Oryza sativa Japonica Group: one gene and its partners. Each later gene encodes a partner of the first gene's protein in a complex. Links are inferred from orthologs where the notes say so. Each region holds a gene or a part of one and is shown in the gene's direction. Other genes may lie near its edges.

The links.
Region 2: mitotic spindle checkpoint protein MAD1 (region 1) and mitotic spindle checkpoint protein MAD2 share a complex: the UniProt entries of both Arabidopsis thaliana proteins name them as parts of the mitotic checkpoint complex. The link is inferred for Oryza sativa Japonica Group from reciprocal best matches to the Arabidopsis thaliana genes MAD1 and MAD2.
Region 3: mitotic spindle checkpoint protein MAD1 (region 1) and mitotic spindle checkpoint protein BUBR1 share a complex: the UniProt entries of both Arabidopsis thaliana proteins name them as parts of the mitotic checkpoint complex. The link is inferred for Oryza sativa Japonica Group from reciprocal best matches to the Arabidopsis thaliana genes MAD1 and BUBR1.

Annotation. Positions count from the first base shown.
Region 1 is NC_089035.1:38,693,144-38,697,284, forward strand, and holds the start of mitotic spindle checkpoint protein MAD1, read left to right. Parts: upstream 1-1,340; 5' UTR 1,341-1,495; coding exon 1,496-1,693; intron 1,694-2,031; coding exon 2,032-2,131; intron 2,132-2,423; coding exon 2,424-2,584; intron 2,585-2,859; coding exon 2,860-3,057; intron 3,058-3,135; coding exon 3,136-3,228; intron 3,229-3,425; coding exon 3,426-3,548; intron 3,549-4,141. UniProt on the Arabidopsis thaliana protein: Required for the execution of the mitotic checkpoint which monitors the process of kinetochore-spindle attachment and delays the onset of anaphase when this process is not complete.
Region 2 is NC_089038.1:24,797,651-24,801,151, reverse strand, and holds mitotic spindle checkpoint protein MAD2, read left to right. Parts: upstream 1-1,227; 5' UTR 1,228-1,448; coding exon 1,449-1,521; intron 1,522-1,632; coding exon 1,633-1,648; intron 1,649-1,808; coding exon 1,809-1,939; intron 1,940-2,057; coding exon 2,058-2,282; intron 2,283-2,411; coding exon 2,412-2,533; intron 2,534-2,622; coding exon 2,623-2,679; 3' UTR 2,680-2,986; downstream 2,987-3,501. UniProt on the Arabidopsis thaliana protein: Required for the execution of the mitotic checkpoint which monitors the process of kinetochore-spindle attachment and delays the onset of anaphase when this process is not complete.
Region 3 is NC_089036.1:5,218,447-5,222,677, forward strand, and holds the start of mitotic spindle checkpoint protein BUBR1, read left to right. Parts: upstream 1-1,414; 5' UTR 1,415-1,496; coding exon 1,497-1,741; intron 1,742-1,873; coding exon 1,874-1,933; intron 1,934-2,077; coding exon 2,078-2,222; intron 2,223-2,332; coding exon 2,333-2,490; intron 2,491-3,173; coding exon 3,174-3,255; intron 3,256-3,337; coding exon 3,338-3,404; intron 3,405-3,485; coding exon 3,486-3,531; intron 3,532-3,624; coding exon 3,625-3,790; intron 3,791-3,912; coding exon 3,913-3,998; intron 3,999-4,099; coding exon 4,100-4,180; intron 4,181-4,231. Other genes in the region: uncharacterized protein, read left to right, coding at 204-644. UniProt on the Arabidopsis thaliana protein: Essential component of the mitotic checkpoint. Required for normal mitosis progression. The mitotic checkpoint delays anaphase until all chromosomes are properly attached to the mitotic spindle.

The DNA of each region.
Region 1 (4,141 bases):
GAGATTCAAACACCACCACATGAGTTTCGTATTTTTGTTCACATGTCACAAGTTTGCACTCGCTCGAACGTTTCGACGGTATAAACAGGGGTTAATTGGATCAATGCCACTGTAAATGTGACAAATCAGAAAAATGCAACTACTATTTATGTTATCGGCCAGGTACCACTGAAAATTTTTAAAATTAGAACCATGCCACTCCCGTTACTATTTCCGTCGTTCTCTCTCACGTCGTCATCCTCCTCTCTCACGATGGCACGGCGAGGGCAAGGCGTCATCCTCCGAGGACGAGGCGGTTGCCGGCGAGGACGTCGCGAGCGCGGGGAGCAGGTGCGGCCGCGGTTGCCGCTGGCGAGTACGGTCACGGGAGGTCGCGGAGGTCGCGGGCGCCGCCGGCGAGGACGGGAGCGGGGAGCAGGCCGGACGGCGAGGCAGTCGTCGTCCCCGAGAAGCTCCGGTCGCCGCCGATCCAGCTCCTCCTCCATGACGAGATCCGAGCAGCACCAAATCCTGTCGACGGACCAGTCGAGGACTGGGCTGTCTTGGGCATGGGACAGCACTGGACTCCCCGTATGGTCGAGCAAGGTGAACTTGCACCGCGCGTTCATGGGACCATCAATTCTATCTTGAAGAATGAGCAAGAAGGACATGCTCCATGGTGAGCCAGAAGCTGCTATGGTATTGGTAGGTGATACGCCAGAGGGGAGCGGGCGTCCGCCGCCGAGGACGGTCGCGGGGAGGTCGCAGAGGTTGGGGAGCGGGCGCGGCCGTCGCCGGCGAGGACGGGAGCTGGCGCGGCTGCGGCCACGGCCGGCGAGGACGGTCGCGGGGAGCGGGCATGGCCGCCGCCAACGACGGCGCGGACGCAGCCGCTGTCGCCGCCGAGGACGGTCTTGGAGGCGGGTGCGGGCGCTCCTTCCCCATCCGTCGCCGTGCTGCACTCCTCTGGCAGAAGAGCTCGTCCTCTCGCCGCTCCTTCCCCATCTCGACGCCTCTCGCCGCTCCTTCCCCATCCGCCGCCGTGCTGCTCTCCTCCGGCGCCATGTTGCCCAACCGCCGTTGAGACCAAGATGAAAGGTGAAGACAGAGACGGCAAAAATTATGACAGAGAGGACGGAAATAGTGACGGAGTGGTATGGTTCTAATTTTAGAAAATTACAATGGCATTAACTCGATTTCATAAATAGGAGTGACATTTTTTTATTTGCCATATTTGTAATGGCATGATCCAATTAACCCTATAAACAGAGGGCCGACGAATTGGGGTAAAAGTGGGAATGGGGTAACGGAGATCGGAACGGACGCCTTTCACCCTTTCCGGCTTTCCCCACTGGTTCTACAGGCATCCGCGCGGATTCAAATCAAATCCCTCGTCGTTACCCATTCCAGCCTTCCCCTCTCACCTTCCCCAATCTCCCTGCGGTAGAACCCTAGAGGAACCTTCTAGAACCCCCGAGCCCCCCCCCCCCCCGCGGCCCCCGGCGAAGCCAGCGAGATGATTCTCCGGACTCCACCGCAGCGGAAGCGGCGGGCGGACTCCGACGTCGACGCCGCCGCCGCCACCGCCACCACCCGGAGCCCCGTTTCCGACCGCCGCCTCGTGCTCTACGACCGGCCCACCGCCCTCGTACCCGCTGGCGTCCCCGGGGAGCCCATGGATGACATGGTCTGCACGTACCACTGCCGTCAGATGGTGAGATCGCTTCGCCCCTATCTTCTACTGCTATTGTTGTCTTAGCCCAATGGTCGGTGGAAGCATAGCGTGTCTAGTAATTTCGGTGTTACTCCAGCCTCGAGCTCCCATTTAGCTCCAGGTAGTCTCATATTTGATATGCTTAGCTCAGTTGATTCCACGCATGCCACATCAAAAATGTAGACAATTATCGATTGATTGATCAATTTGTAAGGAAATAGATGGCGTGGAGCGAATAATTGTGTGTGGCTGTTGCAGTAAGCGTTATTACATGCCAGTGTACCATATTGATATATACATACTGGTGTGTTCTTTTTTCTTGTATGTAATTCTCGTAGGTGAAATCAGAATTTATGGTGGCATTGGACACTGCAGAGAAGCAAGTTCAGGAGTATCGAGCCACACTTGATGATATGGAGGAACGATTATCCAAGAGTGGTATGCTGTTCTTTTTTCGCATGTGTACCTTCTTAAGTTCGATTTGCTATATCCGTTGGTCAAGATACATTTATGTATCACTTGAAGCATGCACGGAGTTTGGGCCTACCTTCTTCCTAGTTGTGTTTAGTTTGATTTGCCGGGCGCAGAAAGTAGGAAGGACACGTAGTATTGAATCAGATTCACTGCTCTAAGCAATCTACTGTTAGAAATAGGTGTTAGCTTATTACATTCGAAGCAATTGCATGCACATACTTAAAGGTAATCAATAAACATTTTTTTACTGCTTCAGAGGATGAGAGGGCAACATGCCAGGACAAACTGAATTATGTCGAGCAAGAATTGGCAGCAACAAAAGGTCGGGAAAGTGCAATGCAAGAGCGATTATTAAAGGAGGTGGGTGACTTTCAGGAACGCTACTGTGATCAAATCAAGAAGATAGGGGAACTTGAGGTATGCAAATCTCCTTTGGCACATGACCTCCATCCCGTCACATAGCTGGTGACTTGCCTTTAATGTACACCCCCCATTTCTTTTGGTTAGTTCCTTCTGCACCACTGAATATTTGCAAAAGGCCTCATTAACTCCCTAATAAAGTGGGTCTGGACGTACACACCCACTGGGACATTGGCTTGACACATAAGTGATGAGGCAAACATTCAGCTCCTTTTTTTAATCGTATATCTGCTCATCTATTGGCATGACTAATGAAGATCTTGGTGCTGCAGACGCAGCTGAAAAAAGAGATTGATTCTCGAATTGCTGCTGAATCATCGTCAGCATCCGCAAAGGAGTCAGTCAAGGAGTTGGAGGGGAATTTGCAGCGTTTATCTGAAAATTCAGAAAGGGAGAAGAAAGCCCTTAAGAAGAAGCTTTCATACTTGCAAGACGACACAAAATTATCCATTTCTAAACTAAATGCGGAGGTCTGTATTGTTGAACTCTTGTGCATAATGATTTATTACTAGATATTGGCTTATCTGTTTGAAAATGTCTGATGATAGCTTGAAAGAATGAGACTCAGGGCGCTAAACTCTGAGGACGAAGCAAAGTTGCTGAATGAACAGTTGGAGGACTTAAAAAAGCAACTAGATGAGGTCAGCTTATCTCTAATTTGCATGCTTGTCAGCTCATATTTTAATTTGCATGCTTATTTTTGTCTAGCAATATTTCTAATCTTTCCCTGCTAAGAATAGGCTATCTCATTAGATCATCTTTCTCATCTATTTTACTATTTGTTTGATATTTTTGTTCAACATCTATATTGATTTAATTTGTTTCTGGTCCTTGCCAGAGTGTTCGTGAAAATAATGAGATGGAGCACAGGCTATTGAATTGCAGTTCTTTATCTTATGAACGTACTCCATCAGACGATCAGAAGTTGATAAAGCTTTTGCAAGAGGAGCTCCGGAATTATGTGAGCATTATAAATTTGATATCTCCCAGATAGGTTCATAGCTGATTCTATCTGACTGGTTATTTTTCTTGCTTCTTTCATGCACTTGTACAAACTACAAAATGCTTCTTTGGATACACGTGGCTAAACAGCGAAATACCAGCTATTGATGACTGGCAGAATCTTATGTAACTAATCAGTGTCTTGCCGATATAAGCCTTACATCGTTATTACCATTACCTGCTTAGTATTATTAGATAGCATAGGGCCTTCCCATTCATAGTGCAGGGTAATAACACTGACAGAATGTGTCATATTAAAGTTCTGCCCACCCACCCCCCCCTCGCCCCCCGATACCGCAACATTATTAGCAGTGACTAGTTTTTTTTCCTCGAGAACAGCACTTGCTAGTAATTACTGATGCAAAATTTATGTTTTAGTTCCAAGGGAGTTGTTTTTCTATGGCCAGCTACCATAAATGTAGAATGTTCAAGCTGTATTGAAAGCTCTAATCTTCGCACAAGTGCGCTAGGCTGCTTGTTCTTATATTCTTCTTCTTGGATTCTAGATACAATGCTTTCCTGTAGCTGTCTTAAAATTGGATATTGTACAAG
Region 2 (3,501 bases), on another chromosome or scaffold:
ATTTAGATTATTGAGTATATTATTATCGCCATTATATAACCGATTATAGTGGTTAATTTAATATTTTAAGATAAAATATGTCTAAAATGAGTGGTCTAAGTAATACTCCCTACATGCCAAAATGGGTGTTAGGCTAAATCACTTCTAACGCAAAAGACCGAGAAATAATTTGATTATCGCATCGGTTAGATCACATCCGTACAGGCAAGCAGTGTGATTGGGGGCTTGATGGTAGATGGTTTAAAACAAACCAAATTTAAAGGACTAAGAGGTGATAGTTAATGTGCATGCATGCACACACACCTTATATTACAAGACATGGAAAAAAGTTGTTGTGCCGTGATGGAAGGACTACAGTATAAGTTTTTGTATTTTCAAAACATAATTTTCCAAACCGTGAATCAAATGATATGCTCTGATAATATAATGAATAAGCGTATTTTTTTAGTCTGGTGAAGAATAAACTTTTCGATTTACAATTCGGCCGAATAAGCCCAGAAAAACAGTAAGAAACAGATGTCTCGTTTGGTAAGACGCTCATTTTGCGAGAACACTCTAACCAGCTTTACTCTATTTTTTTTGGTGAAACCAAAATTGTTTGGTAAGTTATAACTGTGCTAAACGGACGAATATGAGGGCAAATAGGGGTTGTTGGCGGCAAAGGGCAAATACCTTCCCTCCGTTTCTAAGGGTATTCCCAACCCAATGTCTAGGATGATGTCCATAACATTATATAAGTTGCCACCTAGGATAAAAAATGATGTGGCAAGTAAATAAATGAGGAAAGAGAAGGAAACCATGTCTTGCATGAGATATGGTTTCTACACAAAATATCATGTAAGATAAATTGCATTAAATTGAAGTATGGAATAGTGGTGTTTATATTGAAAGAGTAGTGTCTAGTACTAATTTCTTGATGATGTAGAGTTTATGAAAACTATGTCTAGTGTTATGGGTTGGGACTGCCCTAAAGGCCAACCGTCCGAACAAGTTCAAAAACCCAGCCACCCAGGAGCATTTTCTCCAAGAAAATGGTGTTTCTACGGTTCTACTAGTAGTCTACTGGTACCAGTACAATTCATCATCAACAAGAGGTAAAGGACTCGAAGAGAGCGCGCGGCTTGGGCGAATCGCGCCAACCGAAGCCCACTGGCCCACCGCCCACACGACCGTTGGGAGCGCAGGTCCGGCCCACCTTTAAAAACTCCCGAAACCCACCCGCACGCCGACACCTTCTCTCCCCCGCACCTGACCCAACACGACCCATCGACAAACAACGCTCCCAAGTTCCCAAGCGCCGCAGCCCGCAGCCGATCCGCTCCACACTAGCCGTTGCCTTTGCCCGGCTTTTCCCCCCCTTTCCTCTTTCCTCTCCCCCCATCCGCCGCCGCCGCCGCCGCCGCACGGGAGGCAAGAGGAGGAGTTAAGAAGGTGAGGCGGATCAGGAGATGGCGTCGAGGACGGCGTCCAAGGACATCATCACGCTGCGGGGCTCCGCCGCCATCGTCAGCGAGTTCTTCGGTAGAAGCCGATCTCCGCTTCCGTTTCTTTTATTTTTTTTCGCCCTCGGCTCCTCTCACGCGTGCGCGCGCCCGATAGGTGTTTGATCGAATGCCTTTTCTCGTGTGGCAGGCTACGCCGCGAACAGGTGCGCGCTTCGCGCGGTTGCGGGTGCCAGGATCGACGGCCGCCGCTGCGCTGATGCTGGTTTCCTTTGAAAGAAAAAAAATATAAAAAACGGTTGCTGCAGATTCAGGGTTAATTTCTGATCCGGGGTGTTTTGTGTTCTTGGTTTGTGCGTGGCGCAGCATCCTGTACAACCGCGGGGTGTACCCGGAGGAGAGCTTCACCAAGGTGAAGAAGTACGGCCTCACGATGCTGCTGACGCAGGACGAAGGGGTGAAGACCTTCATCGCCAACCTCAACACCCAGCTCTCAGGTCGTCTGGCCTCACTCACCGGATCACTAGCCTGCCTGTCTCCATTTGGTTTCTTTTTTCTTTTTCTTTTGCTGCTGCTGATTGATCTTGCCTGTGTTTCCTGCGTTGCCGCGCGCAGAGTGGCTGGAGGCCGGGAAGCTGCAGAGGATCGTGCTGGTGATCATGAGCAAGGCCACCTCCGAGGTGCTGGAGCGGTGGAACTTCAGCATCCAGACCGACCCGGAGGTGGTCGACAAGGGTGTCATCAAGGAGAAGAGCGACAAGGAGATCATGAGGGAGATCCAGGCCATCATGCGCCAGGTCGCCTCCTGCATCACCTACCTCCCCTGCCTCGACGAGCCATGTAAGCGCCATTACCACCACCTCTACTTCTTCAGTGTTCAGTGTTCATCGCCTCTGCTCTCCCCCCCAATTCCTCCCAGCTCATCCGCATTCGTCGATTGATTGATTGATTGATTGATTGATTTTGCAGGCATATTCGACGTGCTGGCGTACACCGACATGGACGTCGCGGTGCCCTTCACCTGGGTGGAGAGCGACGCCAAGCTCATCGAGAATCCACAGATGGTGAAGCTGCATTCCTTCGACACCAAGGTGAATATCACTGAATCGACTCCGTTTCTTTTTTTTCGCTGCCTCTCCCAGATTGCTGACGTTACAGCGCCGTGTTCTTGCCATGGCAGATTCACAAGGTGGACACGCTCGTCTCCTACAAGGTCGACGAGTGGGACGAGGAGTAGAAGCCGCCGGTGGAGGTTGGAGCCATGAGGAGGAGACCCCCTTGCTAGTTTATTGCTGCTAGCTTATTTAGCTAGCTTAGCTTGCTAGGCGTGATGCTTGTGTGAATCGTTCGTTCATTCACGCCCTAGCCCTATCGGAACTCGTGTGCTCTGGGAGAATCCCTTTTCTTGTTCTTTACCGCATTTTGGGAGAATCGACTGTGTATCGCTGCTTCACCATGATTTTTTTTTCCTCAGCCTTTGAAATCCTGGGTTGAAAGTACCACTGGAGTTGAATGCATCGTGATCGTGTGCCACGATTTCTTCACTGTGTTGTTCAATTATATGTGTTGTTTCTCACTTCAGAATCTCAAAAGATTCAAGGTGTTTTGAAGTCATATGCTCTGTGAATAACAAAATGCACTTAAATTAAAAGTAATTCTGTACCATCTTCAATCTCAAGACAGCCGTATCCTCAAAGTTTATGTTATATCGACCACCGTTTTTCTTGTCAAAACTTGCATATTAAATTAGAAGTAATTTTGTACCATCTTCAATCTCAAGACAAAATGCACTTCTGCTGAATGAATTTATTCCAGCTTCGGAACTTCCAAGGCTGTTTGCAACAATCCATCAGAAATCTTACATTTTGCCAGACAACCTTCGTTGTCCGGACAAATTACACTTCTGATGAATGTATTTGTTTCCAGCTTCCAAGACTATTTGTGACAAATGTAAAACCCAGTATCAGCATGGGTAACAAACACATTGGAAACTAACTAACACCAAGATGCTACAGAGCTACATTTACATTTACATATAAACCAGAGGAACCCCAGGACC
Region 3 (4,231 bases), on another chromosome or scaffold:
TAGTTTGTGTGTTTGCACACTCTGATAATTAGATTTGCTTGAGGAGCACCTTAAGTAGTAGTATTCCACATAGTGCTAAGTGCTGATCTATCCTATTGAATTGCCTGCTATATTGTTTTGAGAATGAATTATATGTTTATGATTATGCTTTAGTAAAATTTCTCACTTGAGTTGCATTGTTCAGGGAGGAGTGACCGGAGGGAATGCAAGACCCAAGAGGTATGCCACGAGATGAATTCGCAACCCCGAAGACGCACAAGAGAAAGGTCGTTTCCCGCCCCTTGCCTCCCAGCCAAATAAAAGCTGAACCTGAGCTGCTGCGGAGGGAGGTTCCACTCACATCCGGCAAGACCAAGAAAGCCCCTAAGATAACCTTCAAGAATGAACCTCGCCATTCGGCTCCGCAATCTGATTGGGGAACCCCCGATTCGGTGCCAGAGTTCGGTCCAGCTGATGAATACAGAGCGTTACGGAAGAAGTACCTGCTGCTGGAGGATGAGAACGGTGAGCTGGACAAGCAATTGAGCCAGGCTGAAGAGGAAGCCAGCGTTCTCGAGGATGAAAAGTTTGCGCTGCTGGATCAGCTTGTTGTGTTGGAAGGCCTTGTGGATCCTTCACAGATGCAGCCACCGAGAAGGCTGTGAGATTCTATGCGTGTTCGTTGCCTGTTCATAGTCCAATTAAGTTACCTGTTACTGCTTCCTGCTAGATATGTAACCAATTGTAATGGAAGAGCAAAGACATATTATATCGTTTATTATGGAAGTTTGAACATTTAGAGCACTTGTTTGGAGTTCTTTTTGTGCAATATGAAAGAGTGCTATCAGTTTAACTGAAATTTAATCGTGGCAAAACAGAAAGTTCAGCAAGCATGAAGCTTTGCGCCTTTGCCTCAAGTTTGAGTTATGCTTTTAAGAACTACGCAACTGGTCTTGGGGAAAAAAGCTGAACAATTTGTGTTTCATGTGATTTAAGAAACTAAATCTGTTCATGTGAAGATCAACTGATCATCACAAACTTCTGCGTAATGTTTGCACAAACACATATACTCCAGCATTAACATAAAAAAAACAAAACTCATTCATCACGGCGAATTGACGGGCCACAATTTTAACAGTATGATTTCTCAAAAATCTTTCTACAATAGCATTGTTTCGATAACCTTTTCTAACCAAATAATTAATTAACTTCATAATCTACAGTATATTGAATTAATCTATGAATTTATCGGCTAATTAGCTGACAAGCTGAACAGGGCTGAGACTGAATTTCTTCATAGTGACTCTGCCGTGTGAGTGCTGACGCAATCAAGATCCAACAATTTTAGGCCCACATAAACTTTCCAAGCCCAACTCATGAAAAGCCCAATTCTTTTTCACCTTATATAAACCCGAGCAGCAGCAGCATCCGCCTCAGCTCAACGGTCAAAAATCTCTTCCAATTTGAATATCTCTCCTCCCAAACGGTCGGCTCCGGAGCGGCGCCCGGACGAACACATGGCGGCGGCGATGGCGACGACGGCGGCGGCGGCGGCGGAAGAGGCGGTGGTGGCGCTCGACAAGGAGACTCTGATGCTGATGGGGTGCGGCGACGCCCCGCCGGCTGCGCCGTGCGCGGAGTGGGAGACGTTCAAGGAGAACGTGCGGCCGCTGAAGCGCGGCCGCAACGTGGGCCTCCTCAACCGCGCCCTCAAGGCGCACGCCGACCCCGCCCAGCGCGCCGCCCTCCTCGCCGCCCGGAGGTACCGCCGCCGCTCCCGTCACCCGCGTCTCTCGGTTCTTGGGTTTGGTTTGCTCTGGATTTCTTGATTTGGGGGCGGGTCTCTGGTAATCTTTTTTTTTTCGTCCTACGTTTGATTGATCTACTGATTCAGGAAAATGATCGAGGCAATCGACGAATACAGCGGCGAGGATCCGCTCCAACCATGGATAGAGTAAGCAATTTCCCCTTTGTTTCATTGATTCGTATACTAGTAGTAGTAGGTTGAGCCGAAAGATTTGCCATGTCGGCGATTTCTCTGCGGTTTCCGCAAGCTTGCTGCTCATGGCATGCCTTTGTCTGCTTAATCCACACGCAGCTGCATCAAATGGGTTCAGGAGTCGTTTCCGACAGGCGGGGATTGCTCCGGGTTGGTGGTGATCTACGAGCAGTGCGTGCGTGCCTTCTGGCACGACGACCGCTACAAGAACGATCTCCGCTACCTCAAAGTGTGGCTGGAATATGTGAGTTTCATGAATTCAGGATTGGTTCTGAGGTGGATTGGTTGGATTGGATTGGATTGGTTTGGTTTCCTTTTGACATCCAGTTTGGCTTGATCTTAATCTGTATGCAGGCGGGGAATTGTGCTGATTCCGAGGTGATATTCAGGTTCCTGGAGGCCAACCAGATTGGTCAGAGCCATACCAATTACTACTTGTCCTATGCGTCGGTAATGGAGTCCAAGAACAAGCTAAAGAAAGCTAATGAGATTTTTAACCTTGGTATTGCCAGGTGAGAATTTTATGGGGGATTGGTAGTTTAGTTTCTTCAGATATGAGAAAGGTTGCGGATTTTCTTCAGTGCTAGTCTGCTAGTAGATTATTTTTTAGTGATAATAGATAAGTTCCTTCTAAATTTCCATATAGCCTTTGACAAAGAATTCCTGTTCTAGATTTGAAGTCTGTTTTCTTCGGATTTTTAGTCAACAAACATATAGTCTTACATATCCCCATTTACTGTTTTAGTTCTATGAATTATAGTAACTAAAATGCATTAAACTAATTTGGAGTAAGCTTATGAACCGTTGTAGCTGAAAACTTTTACCTTCTCTATTTGTTTTTGGAGGGATATGACTTTTCTTGCCACTCTACCTATACCTTAATACCTAAAGCATACGATTTATGCATTTGTTTGACTGCAAGGTGTATAGTCTTCCATATTCCCACTCACCATTTTAGCTCTATGTATTATAACTAAAATGCATTAAACTGATTGTGGAGTAAGCTTATGAACTGTTCTAGATTAAAACATGTATTCCTGACTTCTCTATTTTTTGTTGGAGGGATATGATATAATTTCTCAATTTTCTGCTCTACCTACACCTTAATACCTAAAGCATACTATTTATGAATTTTGTTTGATGGAATGGTGCATATTAAACCGTAAAATTCTTTGGCTTTTTTTTTTTTGGTCAGGAAAGCAAAGCCTGTGGAGAAGTTGGAAACTACATACAGGGCATTTCTTCAGAGATCATCCAAAAAGAAGGCACATCCTGAGGTGTACATAGGCTGATTTAGTACCCTATTTTTAATCTATATTCCACTGCCCACTGAATGAATTCTATTATCTGTTGAAACAGGATGACACAACTACTGATGATCATCCAGTACGCAACTTTGGGACTGTCTTGAACCGTGGTGAAATCAGTAAGTTTGCTGTGATGGTATGATTAACATCAATTTCAAGTGCCTGGCTGGGTGAACTAATGTTGCATTTTGATGTGGCAGGAGGCCAGCATGCAGAAAACTCTCACCTGGTGAAAACTCTGCAAAGGTTATTACTTGTTATACGCATGCAATCAGTATAAAGAAATCTAGATGAACCTGGAATTTTTTTACTGGTGTTGATACTGTTGCAAATTTGCAGAGTTGATGTCAATAGGCCACTTGCAGTTTACACAGATGAGAATTCGTTACCTAGTCATGGCCTTGCTAGAACCAGGAGCAACAACACGGCCTGGCAGACCCTTGGATCACAAGCAGATCGGAACAAAGAAAATAACATGAGGCCTGCTAAATGGACATCACACAAGGTTTTTTTTTTCTCCCCTAAGCCACTAGAATTCTTCAAAAGGTCCCTTTTTGCGACATGTCTCGAGGTTTATCGGTTCAGTAATGATCAATGAACTGATGATAGTATTGCACTGAACAACAGATTCCTCAGAAGGTTGGATCGAGGGCAGCAGTTCAGCCGACTCGTGTAAGCTCCATTGAAGTCTTCGTAGATGACGAATGCGCCGAGTATGCTACTGTGCCCTTAAGTTAACAGTTTTGAATAGTTCTTTAAAAAGAGTAACTGTAAAAACGTATAATTTTTATATACCTTCCTTTGATTATTTCAGGGAACCAGTTCCCCAAGTGCCAAAGAGTACAAAACCATCTATTCTGAAGCTTAGGCAAGCAACAAGCAGAAACCTCAAGCAGTAAGAATAGTTCAGCTTATATTATGTTTCCAGAGGTTCTGTTCCTTTCTC